Linked DNA regions of Oreochromis niloticus. Each later gene encodes a partner of the first gene's protein in a complex. Links are inferred from orthologs where the notes say so. Each region holds a gene or a part of one and is shown in the gene's direction. Other genes may lie near its edges. The genes, in order: tent4b and zcchc7.

Region 1 (10,574 bases):
TACCTGAAGCAAAGATTGTAAGCTTTTTAAAACTCAAAATTCCAATGTAAGCATCCACAGCAGAAATAAAGTATCATTTTGATTAAGGTTTAATAATAACATGGTGTACATGACGCTGTAATGATCCCTTAAAGTAAAACCATTGGTGGCTAATTCAGTACTTGACAGAGGGCATTTGGGGTAGAAGAATTTATGGCTCTTATTATGCACTTTTAACTGGAAGAAAACTGACTTACTTTTGTTTGGCTTTTTTAGACCAATTTTAAGTGATTCGGGTTGGGGTTCTAATGACTCATAAGTCAAAGTTTAGGGGCATATCTCAGGTGTTTTAAAGGGTTAATCTCAATTTGGTTTCGAGTTTTTTGTTGTTGGGGTTTCTTTGTTTTGTTTTTGAGGTGCACATTAATGCCTGGTGAAAAGGTGGTGTGTGAGTCATGCTGAAATGTGAGCCAGAGCGACAGGGCAGACAAACTGTCGGGTTTAGGGGGGAGCGGATTAGGGACACCCAACAAGGTTCAGCTGAGGACCAACTTGTGGCTTCCACCAAGTTGACAGTCCCCAGACCTGACTCCGGCGAGACAGAGCTGTCCCTCTAAGCTCAGTCAGAGCCGAGGCCCTAGGATTGTGGGTGACATTCATGGTGACGTACCAGAATACCCTCTAATATTGCGTGTTGTTAGGGTTGTTCTAGTGTACCAGTATAAAGATTCATCTGTGGTAAACCATTTATTTATCAGACAAACACAGTTTTACACTTATTCCTTCAGGAGCAACACCCTTGAACTGGGTTTTAATGCTCACTGCACCGCAAGAAACGTGCAGCTGGACATAGTGGAATGCATCTGTAGGATTATTTTTCTTTGTGGCAGGCGGCTGAACCCAGACTGGGTGATAAGAGTGCTAAAAGGCATTGTTTTAGTAGGATGTTGAGTCACATGGCTGATTGTTTTTGTCCAGAGGGGGAAGGAGGAGCTGAGGGAGGCAACGGCCTTGCTGACAGCCCAGCAAACGTCCTTGGAGATCATCGTCAACATGTGCTGCTCTGACGGTGAGTGGTGTGGCCACGGACAGCCATGCTGACCCCAGGCATTTTTCGTCAAATATATTTCCTATGACACAGTCACCAACTATGTGTTTGTCTATCGGATAAGCTATTATAGCGAGAAATGCTCACAAATGTCTCATTTGAGAATCTAGAAAAAACATCTTCATGGTTAATTTCTCTAATTAACTCTGTGTGTGCACATGTTAAGACCCTTCTGATGACGAGTGGGAGGAGGAATCAAGCAGTGATGAAAGCGACATGGGTCCCGATGGCCTTTGTGATGGAGTGTCCAATCTGATGTCTCCATTGTGCTTGTCAGCTGAAGTTCAAGGGGCTTTGATCAACCACAGCATACCACAAAAGGCAAATGACAGTCTGCTTCTTCAGTCACACCTTAGCCAGTTCATCACCAAAGCTTTGACGCGCTTGTGAATGTTGTTAAGCTGTCATTTTAGCTTGCATTGCTGTAATTACAAACTTCAGATTAGATTGATTATGTGGTGAACCTCACCCATCTTCTCCCAGAGGCTGAATGGATTGAGTTATTTGTGCAGTTTCATAGAGAACTCACTTTCACATACAGTTTATATGCACCTACGCAGCCACTCCCAAATGTAAAAGGCCTGTCATAATTTTGTTTTTTCCTGTTTTAAGGTTCTGAAGAAGACAGAGTTCCCTAAAAAGGAAACTGTGGATTTGTGCCATCAAAATCCCTCCTGGAGAGGCCTGATAAAAAAGTAATCCTCCTCTCTTCTTCCATTAATCTTCACTGTCTGAGTATAACCATCTTTATTCTTTCTCATTTATAAATTTTAAATTTTTAAATAAAAAGTCACACCTTCTTTTTAGGATGGAGCGTGTTCAATCCCGGGCACTGACTTGCCTCCACAGTATCCTCTCCACCATGGATGCAGAGTCTTTGGGTGGTGCGACAGCCCTGCAGGAAGCAGCACAGCATCTCTCCTCTCTGGTCTTTGGTGCCCCAGGTCTCACATTAATAAAACTTCTTCTGCAGTATTATAGTACCATTTGTTATTTTTCTATTTTAAAGAATGCAACAAAAAAAAGGGAGTATGCATTTGTGAGAATGGAAACTACAAATCGAAACTACATTTGTTTCTTTCAGAGATTCCCAAAGATGAGGAGTTTCTAGAGGCTGTCATCAGCGCCATGCGATCTCTTTTACAGATGATTGCCTCCAAAAATATCCCACAGGTAGATAAGACGCCACTATTTAAATAAACAACTAAATCAGTTTTGGTGATTACAAAAAGAGGTCAAAGTCCGTGCAGCCGAGGTCGAGATATCCCGACTTTTAGCCGCTAGCTGAGGGTAAATGATAAAAATGCTTGATTCTACATTTCCCTGTGCCTAATTACATAGTCTTTGTTGTCATGGCTGCAGAACACATGACAGGAGTGTACAGGTTGAATAATACTCCACATGTTAGTTCTGTCTTTTGTAACTGCATAAAAACCGACCTGAATATAAAATTTCCGCCTTGAACTGAACTTTAAAATCCACTGCCACGTCACACTTGCTTCTGTTGACCGTTTTTCTTCCTGACAGCTCAGTATCTATGCGTTTGGCTTTTGTTTTTGCTAGTGTATGACCCCCCAGCAGCTGATGAGCTTGAGCGAAACGGCCACCCGCTGTGATGTTGTCAGTGTGAGGGTCAACGCCGTCGCCATTCTTGGCATCACTGGCAGCACATTAGCCAAAGAGAAGGGCACTGCAGAAACCCTCCAGGTATCTCTTTCTCTCGTTTATTCTTTTGGAAAAGTTGTTCTTCCTCAAAGAACCTCTTCTTCCACAGATGATCGGAAATGCGTTGCTTCAAGTTGCCACAAGGGATCCTGAACTCGTTGTAAATGGAGAAGCCCTTGACGCTTTGTTTGATGTGTTTGCGGATGGAGAGGAGGCAGAGACGGCTGCAAAAAACATCAGTTTACTGCCTGCACTGAAGGCACTACAGCCTGTCTTCAAGACCAAGGTACCAAAGATAAATTCATCTTTAGTGATCTGTGTGCTTGATAATTTTTCAATATTTTTTCAGCTATGCTTTTTTTTCCTGGAAATATACCTAGCACATTTATTTTTGTCTTATCTCGCCACTACATTGTGCGAATTCTCCTTTGAATAACAATTCTTTTGTTTTTTGTTTTTTTTCCACTACCAGATTCGTAAAGAAGGAAAAGGCAAATACAGCCCTCAGCAGCTGTGTGTGCTGGATAACATCAGAGTGAACCTGAGAAGATTTATTGGTTATCTGGAGAAGGTGTTGAAAAAATGAGGACTATAAAAGCCTGTTTGGTTTGGACAAATATGCTAGCAGGAGCATAGAACGAGACAGAATATGGTTGTGAAACCATCAAGTATTTATGTTTATATTCTTTAAATGATGGTTTACTGTTTGTGTGCAGAGCGAAGGGAATGTAATAACCGTTATTGTATGCTGGAGTCGGCAGTTTTTTTTCCCCACTTAAATTTAACTCAAAACAATTTTGAGACTGAGTTTGTGTTTTCATGTCTGATTGAAACATTTTTTTAAAGATCAGGTGTGGGATCTGACACCAACTTTTCTTATGGGCATCCTTCTTTGAATCCATCTGGATATGCATTGTACTTTGAAATTCTAAGTTGTTGTTTTTTTCCAATGAAGACACTGGTCTGCATACACGTTTTTTCAGTAATAGAAGGAGATTGGTGGTAAATTTTGTAGATTTTTTTTAATCTTTCAGTAACATTATACACAGATCTGAACTGTCTAAATCCCAGCATTGTCTGTTTCGATCATAATGTGGATATCATTATACGTGACTGGCAAAAATTCACGTAAAGCTTGTTAGCTTTTCTTGCAGTGGTTTCTTAGACTTTTTCAACAAAATATCCATAAACTTGCAGTTTATTTCAGTAAAAAATGAAATTAATGTGTGAAGATGTCACCAGGCTGTGAAGGAATAGCCTTTTTGAAATAAACCCTGATTTTTTTCTCAGTGTTCTTCTTTTGCATTATGTGAACCATTTCAGGAATCTTTCCATGACCTTCCAAATACAAACTGGTGGAACCACTGAGATAATTTATCTCAATCTCAATTAATTTATCTTCATAAGGTGTTGGACTGCTTCAATATATACTGGCATGTTGCCTGCAAATCTCTGGAAATCTACTGAAGGGACTAAACATGCTTTCAAAATATTTTCCCTCATGTTGTGTTTTGATGATGGTGGTTGAGAGCATAGCCTTGTTGGTCCTAAATCACTCATAGGTGTTCAGATGACTTGAGATCTAATGACTACAAAACCCCCACAGCATGTGACTCGCATCATTTTCCTACTCAACAAACCATTCAGCCTACCCCCTTGTTCCACATGGAGCATACGTGGGTGGGAAGTATGGTGGATGCTGACTGAGCAATTTACTGACCTTAAACAATATTCATAGTATGTTGCAACAGCTACCTTGTCTCTCTCCATAACTGCAAAATATTCAAAGACCAGCATATCATATATTTTTAAGTATTGGAATTGATCAATAAAATGCTGAAAAAGTGTGTTGCTTTTGGGAATTTGAAAACTAAGTATGGGAACTTTGTATAAGATTTGAGATTTTGTAGAATCATTTATTAGATTAGCTGAAAAAAAACGTGAATAATGACTTTTAATTACCTGGTTAGAAGTTTATATTGCATCTTCATCTGTAAGCTGTTAAATCATGGTTTGTATTGTTGTGAACTATATTTACTCTGCATGAGTGTTGTTTCAAAGTTTCGGATGTTCAGTGGTACTTAAACACTCTGGGTGATTATTGCTGCCCTGCCTCAAAATATAAAATATCTGCTGATTTCCAGAAAAAAACATTACCTTGTTCAATTCAGTTAAAAAATGCCTATAAAAATATTCAGTCTCATAGTTTTGTCAAAAAAAGCAAATCAATTTTTCTTCACTTATGGCCTGTTTGTGCTCATTGTATTTCAGCTTCTCCAACACAATTTGTATATTTGCATAGCCTTCTTTTAATTGCACAGAATGACCAATTGACCAGAATGGCTATTATGCAGCAGGATACATTTTAAGATGGCTTTTGACCTCTCAGTTAAGTGATCCTATCACTGATCCTAGACCAAAGTAACCCAGCTGCTTCCTTCAGCAGATTCAAATCTTGTACATATATGTACAAAATGACCAGGTGACAAATAAGCCACTAGAATCTTCAAAATCATTAGAATGTTGTGGCTCTGGAGGAAAAAAACCCCATCAGACTCTTCCCTCTCATTACCTGAGCCAATAAAAATGGAATGTGGTATTTAATCTGAAGGATGTACAGGTCTCATTACTGATGCCTGGTTAAGGTAAACAATAAATTATTTTGTTTTGGAACTGTATCTAGAAATATATTGATTAAACTGAAGTGGCAGTTATCAAAGTGTTTTTGTGGCTCCCTTGATTAGACTGGAATACCAAAACACAAGTCTTTTCTCTTTCCCTTAATCCATGCTCTTGACACACACCCAGCAAACTGAATGAGATGCCTATGGCTTATCTTGGTCACCCACTGTCATCCTAAAATGAACAAAGTATGCCTTTTTCATTAAATCTTTGATGTTTCGTCAATGTTTGGATGTAGTGGAGCATATAAATAGAAAACCCCCCCATCTTTTCATATCATATTTACAATTGCCACTTGTGAAATAACATGACTGTAGAGCAAATTGAGTATGAATTTCGACATCAGCAACCCCAAATTAATAAAGTGCTTTCATACAGCAAGTGGGATGCTAGACAGTGTATTGGTATTAGTACAAGTCTACTTTGCTCGAAGTGTCTGTTTTTACTACAGAATGGATGAATGAATTAGAGGTTATTTTCTTTTGCATTATTTTAAAAATGTGCAATTAATGGTAAGAAAAGGCAGTATCAAAGAAAATCCAGGGTGTCTGTTACATTCAGCATAATTTATTTTAAAAAAGCAAGGCTCTCAATAAGGTTTTGTTTCGTACGTATGCTAAGATGTAAGTTAATAATAAGGAGTAGGAAGGCTGTTTTTTTTTCTTGAAAATTTTTCCCCTCTCAATTTAACATTTTACAAGATAAATAATTCTATATTAAACATTAGTTTCTTTTCAGTTTTTTCCCGACGGAAATATTAAAATCATCAAATATGTCCCGAGTTTCTCCTCCCAAAGTTGGTTTAATTATTTGTTTTTATCTTCAAATTAACTTAATTGAGCGTGTTATTTATGCACTATATATCACGCGTTTCCCACGTTTTCTCCCATTATAATCATCAAATAAGGAGAATCAGACGTTATTATGTAACAAAAAAAATAGTCGTCTGTTGCGTAACAACACTGCCCGCCCCCTTTTCACTCGCTCCGCGCATGCGAAGTACAGATATACAAGCCGCCATTGAGGGACCCACGATCTGGAGGAAAGGGTCAGAGAGGTACTTCTACCAGCGGTGCCTGCACGTTTTTCCAGTCTTCTGCTACAACTTTGGCTTCAGCTACCGTTTTTAATACTTGACTTAAGCTCTTGATTTATTCGCTGTGGATGTTTTTGCGTCGAAAACTGTCTTCATCGTTACTACAAGGGAGCCTGTTGTTTTTCTTTCTTTTTTCTTTTTTTTTTTTTTAAAGTAGATTCTAGAAGTAACGGGCAGCAGCTATAACGAGGCTACAGCAGGCTAGCTAACGTTAGCCAGCGACCTGGCTAGCTGCACACGAGCTGAGCATTGCTCGGTGGTGGCGGGGGGGCGGTTTGCCTACAGTGTCATTTGATGGATCCGAGGATCGCCTGGTTCCAACCAGAACAACGTGGACCCGCTAACAACCTGTGGATGCAGATTTGGGAGATGACACAGAGAATTAGCTACTTGTACGTGAATAACAGCTACACTACTGTATCGAGCCCAAAAGCTAACGTTAACGGGGTGTCGGGAGCCGTCGTCGCGGAAGGAAACGAGGCACCCGATACAAAAAGCAGCGGCATCGGAGAAGCCAAGACTCAGGGGATGTCGGCCCCGATGGGGGATGGAGAATTGACAGTACAGGGGGACTTTATACCACTTGAAACTAACAGCAACCACAACAGCCGAGTCTTTGGTACGGGCGGTGTCGGTGGAGGAGGGCAGCAACAGCAAGGCAGCGGGGTCGCTGTGAGCGGAGTCACGGACGGACAGCCCCCCAAAAGAAAAAGGGACAACAAAGCTAGCACTTTCGGATTCAGTGTCATCTTGAACGGTGACAATAAAGAATATGTTGGTTACACGGGCACGCCATGGAAAGAAAGGAACTACTCAGAGGGAATTATAGGGTAAGAAAGAGTTTAATGAAGATGGAAAAGAGAGAACCTTTATAAATTATTTTACTGTATTGGACCCCTTAATGAGGGTGTGAATGTGTAACCCCAAGTAGGTGTTCACCTGCAGTATTTTATTTATTTATTTAAAGCCTAACTTGAACACTTGCATGCTGAGATGATTGAGGCTGTAAGATCCCATCCCCACCCACTTTGTCAGCTCCACCTATCGTGTTGGGCAACCATGTGCAATGTGTGTAATTGCATTAAGGCTCACTTGAGCATAACATTAAATACTTTTGGTTGAAAGGCACCTTATTTAAGACTATTATATAAGGTTATGAAAAGGTGCTGTAGTGAGAATTCGTGTGGTGAGAGTGGTGTGAGTTCACATGTCTTGGACAAAATCATATGGTATGTCCTTTGCAGTCCAGAGTTAAAAGAAAAAAGTTTGATAGTGCTCTCTGCCAATATCACGAAACACCAAAATAAGGAAGTATATTGTGGAAGAATGGCTTTTTATCCCTCCAAAGTTGCAGAGACTTAAGAGAGTCGGTGTTAAGCTCTATGGTTTGCATATCGATGATCAGTTCCTTGTTACAGTCTCATTATTATTTGGATTCTACGTGGTTCTGGATAAATATTCAACACCATATGAGCCTCTGTAGTATTTAGAACGTTATAGTGATCATTTAGGGTTAAGTGATGAGTGTACCCAGTCTTGTTCTTATACGTACTCATTACTGTTGCTGGGTAAAGTTCATGTTTGCGTTCACCAACAACTTTAGGCGAAAGTGGGGAGGGAAAAAACTCCTTTAATAGAAATGAACCTTTGGAAGAACCAGACCACTTCAACTGATTATAAGGAGAGGGAAGCAAAGAGAAGGAAAATGGAGAAATGACAAACAGTACAATAAAAAGTCAGTAAGTTGGTGGGGGTCAGTAACTGCAGATCAAAAGCCTTCTGCTCTTGAGCCAAACACACCTGCAGTACAAGGAGAAAGAGAGGACAAACAGTTAATGGCATTCAATGCTGGTGTACAAATGCTCAGAGGGTGAGAGATATGACAGAGGACAAATGGCAAAGGTAAAGAATAACATCATGACACTGACAAATACAAGGTGAAGGAATGCAAATCAGCTCGAAACAGGTTTGCTAACCTGGGCTGATGGTAGATCAGATCTGCTGTATGGATGCTATACTACGATTGTTATTGGCCTTTTAGTCAGTGTCACTGTGGATTTCTATTAGCCTGCGCAGTGTGAACATAAGTGCTGTTAGTCTGTGGACAGCTAAGGAATGTTTGTAGCCCCCTTTAAGGAATTAAATTATTTTCCTGTTATTTCTAGCCAATAACAGCTGTGTATTTTAACACAGAGTGCACTGTGAAAGAAAAAGAAAATGCATGTTAAAAGAATTTTTGACAGTGGTGTTTGTCCAGCACTTATGGGTGGTCAACATGGTTATAGCATTGTTATGGCAATCAGTCTGTTTCCCTGCTTACAAACAAACCCTGCATAAAATCTGGTTGTATTTGAAATATTTATTATAGTCCTAATGCTTTTCCTTTGGAGAGGGGTCAAAAACTCTTTGGGTGCCAAAATTATTCATATGCAAAGGAAAAAATACTGGAGTTTAATGCTAACTTCAGCAGTTATTTGGTTCATAATTTCCACAAAGCAGATTCTGGCAGCTACTAAACTATACGATCACTTCATTTGAGAGACTCTCACTTGATTTACTGAGAATGAGATTTGATTCCGTAGAGGGCATGCACGTTTAAATTGCAGGGCTTATATTGTTACTCCTACTACATTTAGTCTTCTAGTATTAGTCTACAGTATTGAACTACATGATACAATGAGAGAAGAGGGCCTATATGAACTTTTTGGCTTTTTCTTTTCATTCTTGTCATTTGTTTCTTTTAGATGTGATCACTGTGGGGAAATATTTTGGTGGGTGGGGCTCTGTTTTAATATTCTTTTTTTTTTTTTTAAAGGGCAGAAGTTTGTCTCTTTCCCCACCCCTTTCTGTTAGGCAAGTGCAGACAAGCAGAACACCCTAGTGTGGAGTTTAGTCTTTGGCTGATTCTCATTTATAGTAATATTGTAGCCCTGTGTTTGCTTAAGGACATTCCTTAGTGATTAGCTTGGCTAATACCAAAACCTGAACCTCAGAGTCAGAATCAAACTTAAACCACCACGGAAGGCTTTCTGTTTAACCATACTGTAGTTAATCACAGGGCCAATGTGATGTATGGCAGTACAGTAAATGTATTTCAAAGTGAACATGTGCAGAACTACTGTATATGTGAATGGTTCATTGTTAAATATCCCTTGTTATACATGTTTTGTTGCTAGGGAGTTGTAGCCTGGAAGCACACTAATGCAACACCTTGAGTCAGACAGATGGAATATACTTTAAATCAGTGGCTTTAAAAAGCACTGCTGTCATGGGTGCTAGCATTAATGGTCATGTTGTTCATGTGATCAGTATCTTGTGGCTGATTGGTTCTTGCTTAAAAAGACTAAAATTTTCTACTGTTTTTGACTGTGATAAAGATGTAGTTGCCTGGGATTTCAAAGACCTCGTCCTATTTTATTTATGTCATGTGCACATTTCTCGATTTGGCTGGGATTTTGGATGTGATACAACCACTGGTTGCTAGGGGAAAAATGTGTATTCCCCAACTGATTGGCAAGTTCCTGTGTGTCGCTAGGTGAAATTGGTTTCACCAATTTCTTTCTTTTTTTTTTTTTTCTTTTTTTTTTTCTTTGGTAAATTCATTTTTTTGCTTGGAGCTAACTCTAAGTCCAGAAATAGTAAAACTTGAGAGGGTACGATGGTAAACTGGAAATGGAGAATGCTTGCCTTCACAGCAAAAGCTCTGTATTTTGCAAAATGTTGGTTACACCACTGAGGCACAGCTTTTACTTTGAAGGTGAACCCTCTTCATGTTCAGTTTGCGTCACAGTTTCACTACAGCTTGGAGAGTAGCTGGACAGTGTTTCTTAGACAATCAGTTATTCCCATTCAAAGTACAACTGTAGCAATATGTCACCAAAGCAATCACAAGGCTGTTATTTAACCAACTGGGTGGGAAATACACTTTTCCCTAGCAACAAGTGGTTGCCAAGGGGCTAGCTGGCTAGTCTTTAGGCGTGCATGGGTGGGGATTTTAGTAATAATTTTCCCAGCAACTGCACTCAACCTTTAGCAACCACATGC
Region 2 (11,024 bases), on another chromosome or scaffold:
AGAACAATAAGTAAACACGTAAACACAGGAGGAAATGCTCCTCGTCTCTGTGGGACTTTTGGCTTTCACCAGACCGGTTAAATTTAGTGTAAACTACACGGAAAAGACAAAGGCCTGCAGTTCTGTGGGGTTTCATTATGTCTGTGCAAAATTACACATGCATCTGTGTTATCTGTGGAAGTTCACAAGTTGTGTGTTAAAGGTCCTTCAAAATTTCACTTAGATGCAGGCTATGCAAATTAGATATCGACATGATTTACTTTTAACTATTAAAAGTGAAGGCAGGACATTTGGACAATGACAATTTAATTTGATTATGCTGTATTTAAATGGAGATCCAACTATACACAGCTTTTAATGCTATGCCTGGAGCGAATGTGAACCACTGTAATGCTGGGTTTAATTTATATTTAATAATAATAAACTTGTATATCAGGTAAAGGTGAAGCAATACACTTTACTGCATTTCCCATCAACTGTAGCAGAGAGGAAGGCATCAGAAATAGAAAGTAGAAGTACCTTAAAATGTACTCAAGTGTTCATTAAAATATTTTGTCTAACTTTAGAGTGAACTACATTTACATTTCAAAAGAAAATTCAACAAGACACACCTAACTTTACCTGATAATGATGTTTTGTTTGCTACCTAAATGTTATTCTTCAGTCCAAAGCCTCACATTCAAATCAGCACTGTATTTTTTCATATTTAAAAATGAAAGGGACAGAACTATTTAAAAGCCTACTTATATCTTATATACTTCTTCATTTTACAAAAAAGAAAAAAATTAAAAATTGTGGTTTTCCTGCTTTTTATATTTGTTAATCCTTCCTTAAATTCTGGAGTATTCAGTAACTTTTGTTTTTCAGCAATGTTATATGAATAAGTCTCACTCAGGGTTTCTAACTTAAAGTGTATCAGGTATGGCTTAAAAAAATACTCCCTCTGATCCACTTATATGTTACATTTCTTTACAGTAAATCAGAGAAACCTAATACCGACAGTCTTGAAAAAAAAAAACAACTTACCTCTGGTGCTCATTGTTTTCCTAGAAATACTCAGAGCCACAGTGCTGATTGAGCTTACCTCTGTATCCCTGGGATTTAATTCAGAGTGGCACTTCACTGTGGCGACACAAGGTTCCCTTTCTGCGGCCATGGTGCCTGGGTGTTGTTGTGGCTATAGAGGCTAGAAAGGGGGCTTAAGGGCTGCAGGGCGGATTGAGAAATGGGACACATTATTTGTCCATGAAACATTATGTGACACAACATGACACCAGGCCATTTGTATGTAAAGGTAAACATTTCAGCGTGACAATTCGACAAGAGCGGACAAGGCTCCTGTCAATGTGGTTTTATACTTGCAGCTGAGAAAGAGGTGTTGTGGCATCGTGTGGTGATGAAGTGTGTATGTGGGACTTTGTGTGTGTGTGTAGAGCTTGTGTTCACAAATTTAATCCCCATAGACACAAGTCACTTGGTCTGGCCTGAGAAGGTGTTGTCAGGCTTGCTCTCTCGTTTTTTTTTTCCTATTGAAAGCATGGACAGACTGTTGATCACAGAGCTTCACAAAAACAGTTTCCTCTGGGTGTGCACACAAGCGTGTGTGTGTTTCACCTGTACTTGACATGCATTCAATATGATAAAAGATCATCGTCAGAGAATCGTAATAATGCAGGTTAGATTTTAAGCAGCAACCTAAAACACATAAACCCTAAAGCATCCCGGTGGCATTGCTCTGGATCTTGATGGCTTGTTGTCTCTTAAATTAAGAGATAGTTTAGTTGTGAGCCCTGATCAGATGCATTGTACTTTCTGGTGTCAACAGAGTGTCCAGTCACTGTGTTCAGTATTGTAAAACAACTCATTTTAAATGAATTTAGCATCATATCATGAAGTACTTTAAGTGTCAGGTTTGTCATTTCATCCATATGGCCCAGGCATAATATGAGGTCATTTGTGGCTGATCTGTGTTACAAATTCCATGTCTGAAGAGAGGTTTGGAGATCAAGCTTGCTAAACTTTGAGTAGAACTGAGAAAACAAAGAAATATTCTCTTACATGGTACAAAATTACAAGCAATACCCCAGTGACGAGTTATCATTCCCCTCTGGTTGTGCTTTATCATTTGTTCCTTCCTGCCTGTGAGCTTTGCCACTGATTAGTACATGCTCTACTTGGCATATTAACTCCAGAATCTACTGAATCTCTCTAATACACCACCAGTTTCTTATCCCGCAAAGCTATTTGATGCTGCAGTGTCTCTTAGAATTAATGAGAATGTAACACCTGCGTTAATGTGACCAAAAAGATCAAACCTTGACTGAGGTGACAGATACGATAGACTGCATGCGATGCAGTGAAAAAAAACCCAGTGATGATGGGGCTTATACATTCTGCATATCCAGAATATGTGAATGACTTCAGCACTGAGGGCCCCATATGGGTGATGCACGGGAGCCATTTTTGTTCAGAAGCGCTGATCCAGGGAGAGCCTTTTTTTTTTTAAGGGAATTCCTTCTGCCCGGCTGCTTCGATACAGACCGGACGGTTGAATTTACATATATACAGTAACAAGAAAGCATGTGCCAACAGTAGAAAGGGAAGCAGACCTCTTTTAGAGAACTGAAACGAGCTGATGCAACCAGTTATGGATGGAGTAAACATCTGAGCAGATGCTGGACGTGTTTTTGAAACACCTTACTATTACTTCTAGATCTCCAGCTATTAGTTTCCTTTTTCAATACAAATCAGCTCCACAACTGTTTGGCTGTTATATTTAGAATTTTTTTGAAAACCTCTATAAACATTAAATGTGAAGCAAGAAGGTAAATGCAGAACATTTAAATTTGGAATGGATGCCCATCGTGTTCTTTTTTGAGAGAATGAGTGCACTTCCAGATGAATCTCTTAAACCCCAGTTTAGCTTTTTGGGGCTTGTTTTTGTTTTGTTTTTTTGATTTTACAGTTTGACTTGCACAAAATATCTCTCAAAATTAAAAAGCTGGGAGAGTGTAGGGCTAAAATTGGTCATATTATTTTGAGACACCTTTACTTATCACAAGGCCAGGATTAAGTCAAGCTCACCTTCACCTGCTTTTAAAATTAGAGAGTGACATCAGCTCGACAATGAGCCACTAAAGACTTATGCTGATGTTGTTATTGAACCTGTTCTGATCAAAAATTCTTAACTTGAGGTGCACCGAATTTGTAGAAAAAAATGTGAGGTTTAATAAAAGACAGGTTCCTGTTGGAGATACTCCATTGGTGGGATTCCGAACCTGCTGTTGAGAATAAAATGTTTTTTGCTTTGTTAAAATATTCTGCTCTCTCTGGCCAACAGCAATATCTATCACAAACAAATTGACATGCATATTTCAAAACCAGTGACATTTCTTTGTTTTTCATTCGGACTTAAATAGTTGCCAACCATTGTCCTCACAACTGATTATTAATTGTATGCTTACTCTCGGGTAAGCATATTCCATGGTTTCTCATAATGCAGTCAGAAGCTAGAGGTCAGATTTTTGCCAGAGAAAGCAAGTGTTCCACTGCATTTTGTACAGGTTCTTCAAATCACAACTGCAGACAAAAAGAACAGAATTGGGGCTTTTTTTTGTCGTCAGAAACACACTTTAGTACAAAAATGACTATCAGCTGTAGAATATCGCCTTTACACCAGAGCGGCTGACAAGAATCCAGTTTTGATAAAACATTCCGGAGAAAGCTTTTCCACGTCGTCCGATGCCAAATGGAAAGAAGGGGCCGCTATGGAACATACAAACACCACCAAATGAGAGCAATGACATGCTTCTTTTAACTTCTTCTCTTCAATAAAGATCATTCATCAGGCAGAACCATCCCTTCTGGAATGTGTGATTGGAAATGAGGGGACTTTAAATCCCTCTCCCGGACACTCCATCCATCTTCAACACGCCACTGGTCTGGGCACCACTGGCCTGGAGATGAATCGCTGAACCAGATGCCTCCATTCAGCCGATCTCTTCTACCTTCATTTAAAATAATAACAGTAAATACCACCAAATGCGTAGAACCCAAAATCAGGCGGTCACATCACAATTTCACTGGGGCAGTCAGGCATCTCGGACCTGCATCCAATTTAGAGAGATACAGGGAGGCAGAGGAAGCAGAGGGTCCCACGCCCCCCCATATGCACCTCCTAAAAACAAAACAGATGCACGACATTAAGTATGCACCCGTGTGTATGCACAGGTGTGTGTATGTGTGTGTCAGAGGTATATATGGACTAGAAAAGGTGATAGTGTTGTGACATGAGGTATAGACTAACCTTTGGAAGGAAACAATCCAACTCTGTGATGGCCTTTCCTGTGATGACACGCATGGAGAAACCTCAGGAATCAGATGGCATTCACCCTCTGATTCCCTATCATAAGGCCATTCTCTCACCATTATTATGATGGCGACGTTTATAGCAGGATATACAGAGCTCGTAATTATTCTCATGCTATGGAGGCGAGGGAGAGGGAGATGGATGTTAATGTTACACAGCTTGCACAAGAGCCAGGATGGCATAATTTTGCTGTATTCTACGTGTCATAAATATGACTGATGGCGATACCCAGTCTGTTGAATTACATTTACATATAGATTTACATTCCCATCAACATGTAATAAAGGCACAGGCCTGAAGGTTCATACTAGTCACTCACACATTCATGCTCACACCCAGTGAACATACCTACATATTCAGAGGATTTACAGCTGATATTTGGACCTTACTGTAGATGTATACATCAAAGAAATGATGCAGTAAAAAAACATATAGGGCCCTGAGGGATGTTTTGTCTGCAGAAACAATATTTGTGGAAGTAGAGCAGTCTGGCTGACTTCAGTGTCAAGTTTGACAATTAAAAGTTTAGCAGAGGAGGTTCGCTTTCATGAATCACAAAGAAAATCCACCTTAAGTACGCAAGACTTGAATACTAACTGTTGATGATGCAGATCTCTTACTTTGTTGACAGTTTTGGACAATTTGTCTTTGTCAGCAAAAAGCTGGAAGCAAATGAGAGGAAATGGGTAGGTTCCTCATTTGGACTTAAACCAAATGAGTATCTCCATTCCCTTGGCTGCCAGCACACTAACAAACTATTTAAACCAGTGGTTTCATATGATGATGCTTATCAGTTAAAGTAAGAAAGAAAATATTAATGAAGCCTACCTGCACAAGCAAACAACCTACAAACAACAACAACAATCTTTTTTTCTTCTGTTACCTTGGGGTATATGAGGGATAATGACCTTCAGATCTTTTGAGATAAACACATTTTCATTTCATCTTTTCTTCATTGAATCAATGTTGGAATTTTAATAAGAAAATGAATTTTTAGTTGAATTGTTCTAAAAGAAATCCAAATCAAAGAAGAATAATCTCCTTTTATATCAGAATAGGCTATCATAAGCAGGGTGCCACCGGGGGGGGGATGCAGAGGGGCACTGGCCACAGCCCCACACTCACACACACACACACACACACACATACACACACACACACACACTATATATAAGGCAGGGAAGACTGTCCTATATTGGTAATAATGTAATAATGTTACAGAAACGCTTGAGCCAATCCCTGGACACATCACTGGTGGATCTCAGGGCCAACACAGAAAAAGACAACAGTTCACACTCTAACATGATCTAATATTTATTTGAGAATCATTAAAGCGGTGGTTGGGACTTCCAGTCAATCAATCATTCAAGACAGATTATTATGGAATTCAAAGTCTTCTTTGGTTTTCATATAAACCTTTTTTTGGTGATATCAACTTTAATAGCAGGAAATTAACCAGGCATATAATTATTTTCCTTCTCTTTTCATTGCAATATTTTTGAGTAACTTATACAGCATTATAAAACAGGAAATTCTGTTTTTGGTGTGCCACCCCAATATTTTTAGTGGACCGCATATGGCCAACCCTTTGAAAACATTTTGGAGGCACCCCAATCATAAAATGAAAACATAGATAAGGAAAAACCAAAACTAAATGTACAAGCAGGACTTGAAAAAACAGTGCATATCTGTGTCTCTATATAATTAATTATAATTCACTATAGTAATTTAGTAAAAAAAACATTTTACGAAATATAGTTTTTAAAAATTTGCTGCTTTAAATTGTAAATGTTGTGTTTGTGAAATGCTGTATTTTATTATTTTGTCTCTGTCTCTTTTTTGTTTAGTAAGTTGCGTTTTTTCGTCGTTCTTTTTTTGCTCTAAAAACCCCCATAATTGTTCTACCTACAATACTGACACGACACAGGCTTGTCAGTTGTTAGTAATGAAAAAAAACGCCAAAAATACTTCTTTTAGGTAAAGGGGAGAAAACGAGCGAAATACGGTCTCAAATAACTATTTATAGAATAAAGGCTCTTCTTCTTGGTATCCTGTAAAAAAATTAGCTGTGTTGGGGAAATCATGACCTTTCAGTGTCCGAGATGCACTTTGTTTCAACACTCATAACAGTAACCGTCTTCTTCGCATTCGAAGTGAAATGTTACGGTCGGCCAACTTATTTTCCTCGGACAAACCCGGAAGTTGTTTGTCTGTCTCCTGGCTGGAGGCGCAGGAAAAGCAGCTCCAGCCTCCGGTAGCAGTACTTTTCCAGTTTGTTTCCAAAGGTGAGCTCATACACACTGACATTATATATTAAGCACACACAGTGGTGGCCTTGAGTAGGGCTGCCTCAGCTCCTTGTATTTATGTTCTTTCATGTGTGTTTGAGGCTGAAACGCTCCGTTGTTTACATCCGAGCAGTTGCTCTGCTGCTTAGAAACACGTGGATGGAGTGGAGTGAGACATGCCAACCAGGGACTGCCAGTACGCTAAAATAACTTTTAAAAGCCCGTGCTTAGCGAAAAATTCCCAGCTACCTGTATTTTATGGCGTGTTACTGTTTAGTGAAGCCTCGGTACTCTGATAAACAGCTAGCATGTTCCCCAGTAAGCTAGCTCGTTAGCTTTGAGCTAGCCGGGCTTACCATTAGGCTAACTACACAGAGTACACAGTTATAAAACTGAAGTTTCTGTTTGTCACTGCAGTGTAACCAGGCTGCTGGATGTCCGAGATGTCAGCCTGTCACTCTAGTCTGTTTTTGGCAACCTAACTCAAGTCAAATGACTGCGTGGATGTTATAAACTGCACATCGCAACCTTAGCATAATCACACATTCACTAAAATAAAGAAACATTTATGTATAATCAAAAGGCGACATTACACAGAGTGGCACCAGTTTTGTGCAAAAGGCGACTTCTGATGTTTGTGTGTATGTTTTAAACTTGTTTTTTTTTTCTTAAATTGTTAAATAAACTCTACTCAACAGGATTCGTGGAGGGGTTATATATAAAATAAATAAATGACCTGTTTTTAAAGTATTTTTATGACTGTGTAATTGCACCTCCATTAAAATCAATCCACTCCTTTTTGGTCACTAGATATATCTTTTGTAACTGTGATGTTCTACAAAACTGTGATGTTTACTGGGATACATAAATGATATCTAAAAGTTGCTTTGTCAGATTCTCATTGCATCTTCTACATTATGGCAGGGAAGTTCTGGCTTAAAATTACTTATTATCATTCATGAAAGATATGTTTCACATAATTTTCACAACTTACAGGCCAATAAGTCATTTACAACAGGTTAAATATGGGCAATCATTTTTTGGTAGACACTAGAAATCACTTTTTGGGAGATGATCACTCTTTTGCATGGCACTGGTTAAAAAGTGAATATCTAGCAAAACATTGTCTAGTATTCAAACTGCTGACCTGTAATATGTCAGACATATCTTGCTTGAATGATATCAAGGTATTTTGCGCCTATTTTGCGCCAGAAGTGCCATATAAAGTTATAAGTGGCCAAAATGGATGGTATTGGTTATAATGTAGAACACAGACTATGTACAAAACGCAGAATCTTAAGGACACTTGTCTTTATTTTATCTATTACTCCCTTCAAAAATCATTCTGAAGACAGCTTATGTACCAATGTAAGAAAAAGATATCAGACATAAAACACACAGAAACATAAGAAATCACTTTTGACATAACTCGTTCAATGCCTGGCTGATACTGATTTTTACAGATTGATACTGATTTTTAAAGATTGCAGTGGGTGGTATGGTGGTGCAGTGTTACTTGTTGCCTCACAGCAAGAAGGTCGTAGGTTTGAATGAAGTCTGGAGCTTTTCTGTGTAGAGTTGGCATGCCTGCCTCGCAGCCTGTGACAGCTTAGTTAGTTTCCAGCCCTCTTGCAACCCTGAAGAAAATAGGAGGATGGATGGATCTATTCCAATGTCAGTATATCAGCCAATATGTTTTTGGATAGCATGAAGTACTGCAAAAGTGTTATATGTAATGTAGTCACCAGTCCTTAGCTGGGCAAACTACATGCGGAGACCATTTAGTTACATCAAGTTAATCCAAGCATCTTATAGGCCATTATCCTCCAACCAATACATTAATAGATTATTATTGGTTCAATAGAGTTTGTCCATTCTTTTAGTATTGCAAGTATAAGATGGCCTCCTAATTATTAAGATGATTATGTGCTTTGAAGAATTGTGCTCTGAATGATACAAGACAAGATCAGTGAAGTTGATTCAATGTTTTTTTTGTTTTTTTGTTTTCTTGAAACATAAAATGTACTTTTCTTAACTGCTCATCCACCTCAGGTGGATCCCAGCTGTCTGGAAACCTTTCTGTCATGTCTGTAGGGACAAATGACCATTCACGCTCACGGTCACCTCTCTGGACAATTTAGAATCACCAGTTAACCTAACATTCCTGAATTTTACTTAAAGCTTCTCAGATACATGCACATTCACAATTGAGCAATATGAAGGTGTTTTCTGTTCCTATGATTAGTTAAATCTCACAGCTATGAAGTAAATTTTCAGAGTTCCCAGTTCACTTTTTTTTTTTTTTTTTTTTAACCAAAGCTACAGATAAATTAAACCTTGTATTTCCTGTTTCGGTGTAAACCCATAGGGACTCATGTGTGAATATGCACAGCTGGCTAATAGAAACGTCAGTGCTTGATATTTGTTGATCTCTAAATTCATTGTGTCCTAATGCAGCATTTGTAAAACACATTTCAGCTGCATTCATAGGTCTTATCCGTGCAACAGTTATGCTAAAGTTTGTTTAAATTTTTCGATTTAGCTAAATGTCCACACTAAGAAGACGAGTACAGCTTGCTGCATTCTATTCTAACTGCGTTTTATTCTAACTGTCTGATCTATATTAAATCAGACATTTAGACTGTGAGCAGGATCATGATTAGGATTGAAACTGAAGTAACTAAATAGAATTTAGACACCTTTGCATCTTGCCTGTTGTTTTTTTCTTCACTTTTTTTTCCTGGCATGTCCAAAAGTTTTCTGTGGAAAACCCCTCTTTGGTTTTGGTGAAGCTGAGTTGCTTCACCAAAACAGATGCAATGGAGCTAACAGAGTCCAGGGGTGTTGTTCGGGTAGCATTTTAATTGAGAAGATTAGGAGGAATCACCTGTGTTGTCAGACCATGACTGTACCCGACCTTTAAGTACAGTACATTAAATTCCACTACTGTAAAACACAGTCCGTCATTTGTCGGGTCCCAGCCCCTGTGAGCTGCTGAAACTTTCAACACAACGGTCGCCCCTCACCAACCGGTAAGATTTTCTGTCCCTTTAATCCCTTGTGGCCGGCTTGTGACCGTGTAGCGTGGCGTTTATGCAGTGTGTGTGCGGCCTGGGAGCCAATCATCTCCAGCCATCATGGCACAGACACGCAGGACTGGACAGAGCAATGGGCCGGTGCCCCTTCTCTGTCCACTTTCTGCATGTGTGTGAGTGTGTGTGTTAGAAAAAGGCAGACAAGCACTGGAAAAATTAACAACACAGTGCGGTAACCAGCTAATTCAACAGTTTTTTTGGTGTCACGTTAAGTGTTATTTGAAGTCGTCACCTGGCAGGTAAAAAAGTTGGATCCTGTTTGCTTGAGCCAATGAACACAGCTCCGATGGAAAAAAGTCTGCGTGTTAAAAAAATAAATAAATAAAAAAAGTCTGAGTGCTCTTGAGCTGTGTCCACTCAGCTTTCTTAACAAGGCCTCATGGTTTTCAGAGTAAGACAGAAGTTTCCTGTAATTGATGTTGGCCTGTTTCTCCTTCAGTTCGACAGTGCTGTGGATACACGGCAGATAACTTAAGAGAGGAAAATGACGACAGCACAATTCTGGTAATAATGTAGGGCTACTAATTAGTCTTGTATAGTGGACCTGACGTGGTTGATCAGTGTTAAATATTTGAAGGGTGAGATATAAAAATTTCATGTGCACAGATTTAAAAAAAAAAAAAAAAGAAATTCTAAACATTGCTAGAATTGGATTGGTATTGATGATATCAGGCAAAATGAAAACTTAATAAGTTTGATTTTTTTTTTTAATTTAATTTTGAATCTTTTGAAAAACATGCTCAGTTAAGGGAAAGGTTGGTTGCAGCAGAGGAGCACATCTTTTTCTAAAATTAACAAATGTACACTATTATGACACTAGTAAAACCACATTTTGCTATTTGTGCCTTCTGGTTGTGATGTTCCCGTATAAATCACCGAGCAGGTGAATCTGAATCCAAAGTGATGCTTTGCAAAGAGCCACGCATAAAGAGCTGCTGGTTGGTGAGCTGTTATGATTGCCTACCTAAAGCTGGTTTATGTTGGTGATGGTAGCCAGTGTTAGCAGTTTAGAAATTAATTGTTAAAAAAAGTGAAGTTTCCCACGCGTAAGAATTTCTTTTGTTTTTTACTTGCATAATAGAAAACTCTTTGATTTTTTTTTTAATTGTGGGTTGAGTAGATTAAGCCTTTTATTTCTTTGAGCTTTGGGAAATGTGAAAAGAATTTGATTGACTCATCTTTACAAACTAAATGATAATAATTAGTGGTCAATAATTGTAGGCTGTTTAATTAAAAGTAAACTGGCTGTTTCTTCTTCTTTGTCCAACTATA

Evidence for each region.
Region 2: tent4b (region 1) and zcchc7 share a complex: the UniProt entries of both Homo sapiens proteins name them as parts of the nucleolar TRAMP-like complex. The link is inferred for Oreochromis niloticus from reciprocal best matches to the Homo sapiens genes TENT4B and ZCCHC7.

What each region holds. Positions count from the first base shown.
Region 1 is NC_031965.2:31,684,649-31,695,222, reverse strand, and holds the start of tent4b (terminal nucleotidyltransferase 4B), read left to right. Parts: upstream 1-6,436; 5' UTR 6,437-6,824; coding exon 6,825-7,360; intron 7,361-10,574. Other genes in the region: heatr3 (HEAT repeat-containing protein 3), read left to right, coding at 958-1,048, 1,254-1,408, 1,700-1,782, 1,895-2,031, 2,172-2,260, 2,651-2,794, 2,862-3,038, 3,225-3,338. UniProt on the Homo sapiens protein: Terminal nucleotidyltransferase that catalyzes preferentially the transfer of ATP and GTP on RNA 3' poly(A) tail creating a heterogeneous 3' poly(A) tail leading to mRNAs stabilization by protecting mRNAs from active deadenylation.
Region 2 is NC_031971.2:22,408,299-22,419,322, reverse strand, and holds the start of zcchc7 (zinc finger CCHC domain-containing protein 7), read left to right. Parts: upstream 1-6,496; 5' UTR 6,497-6,654; intron 6,655-10,191; exon of another isoform or gene 10,192-10,256; intron 10,257-11,024.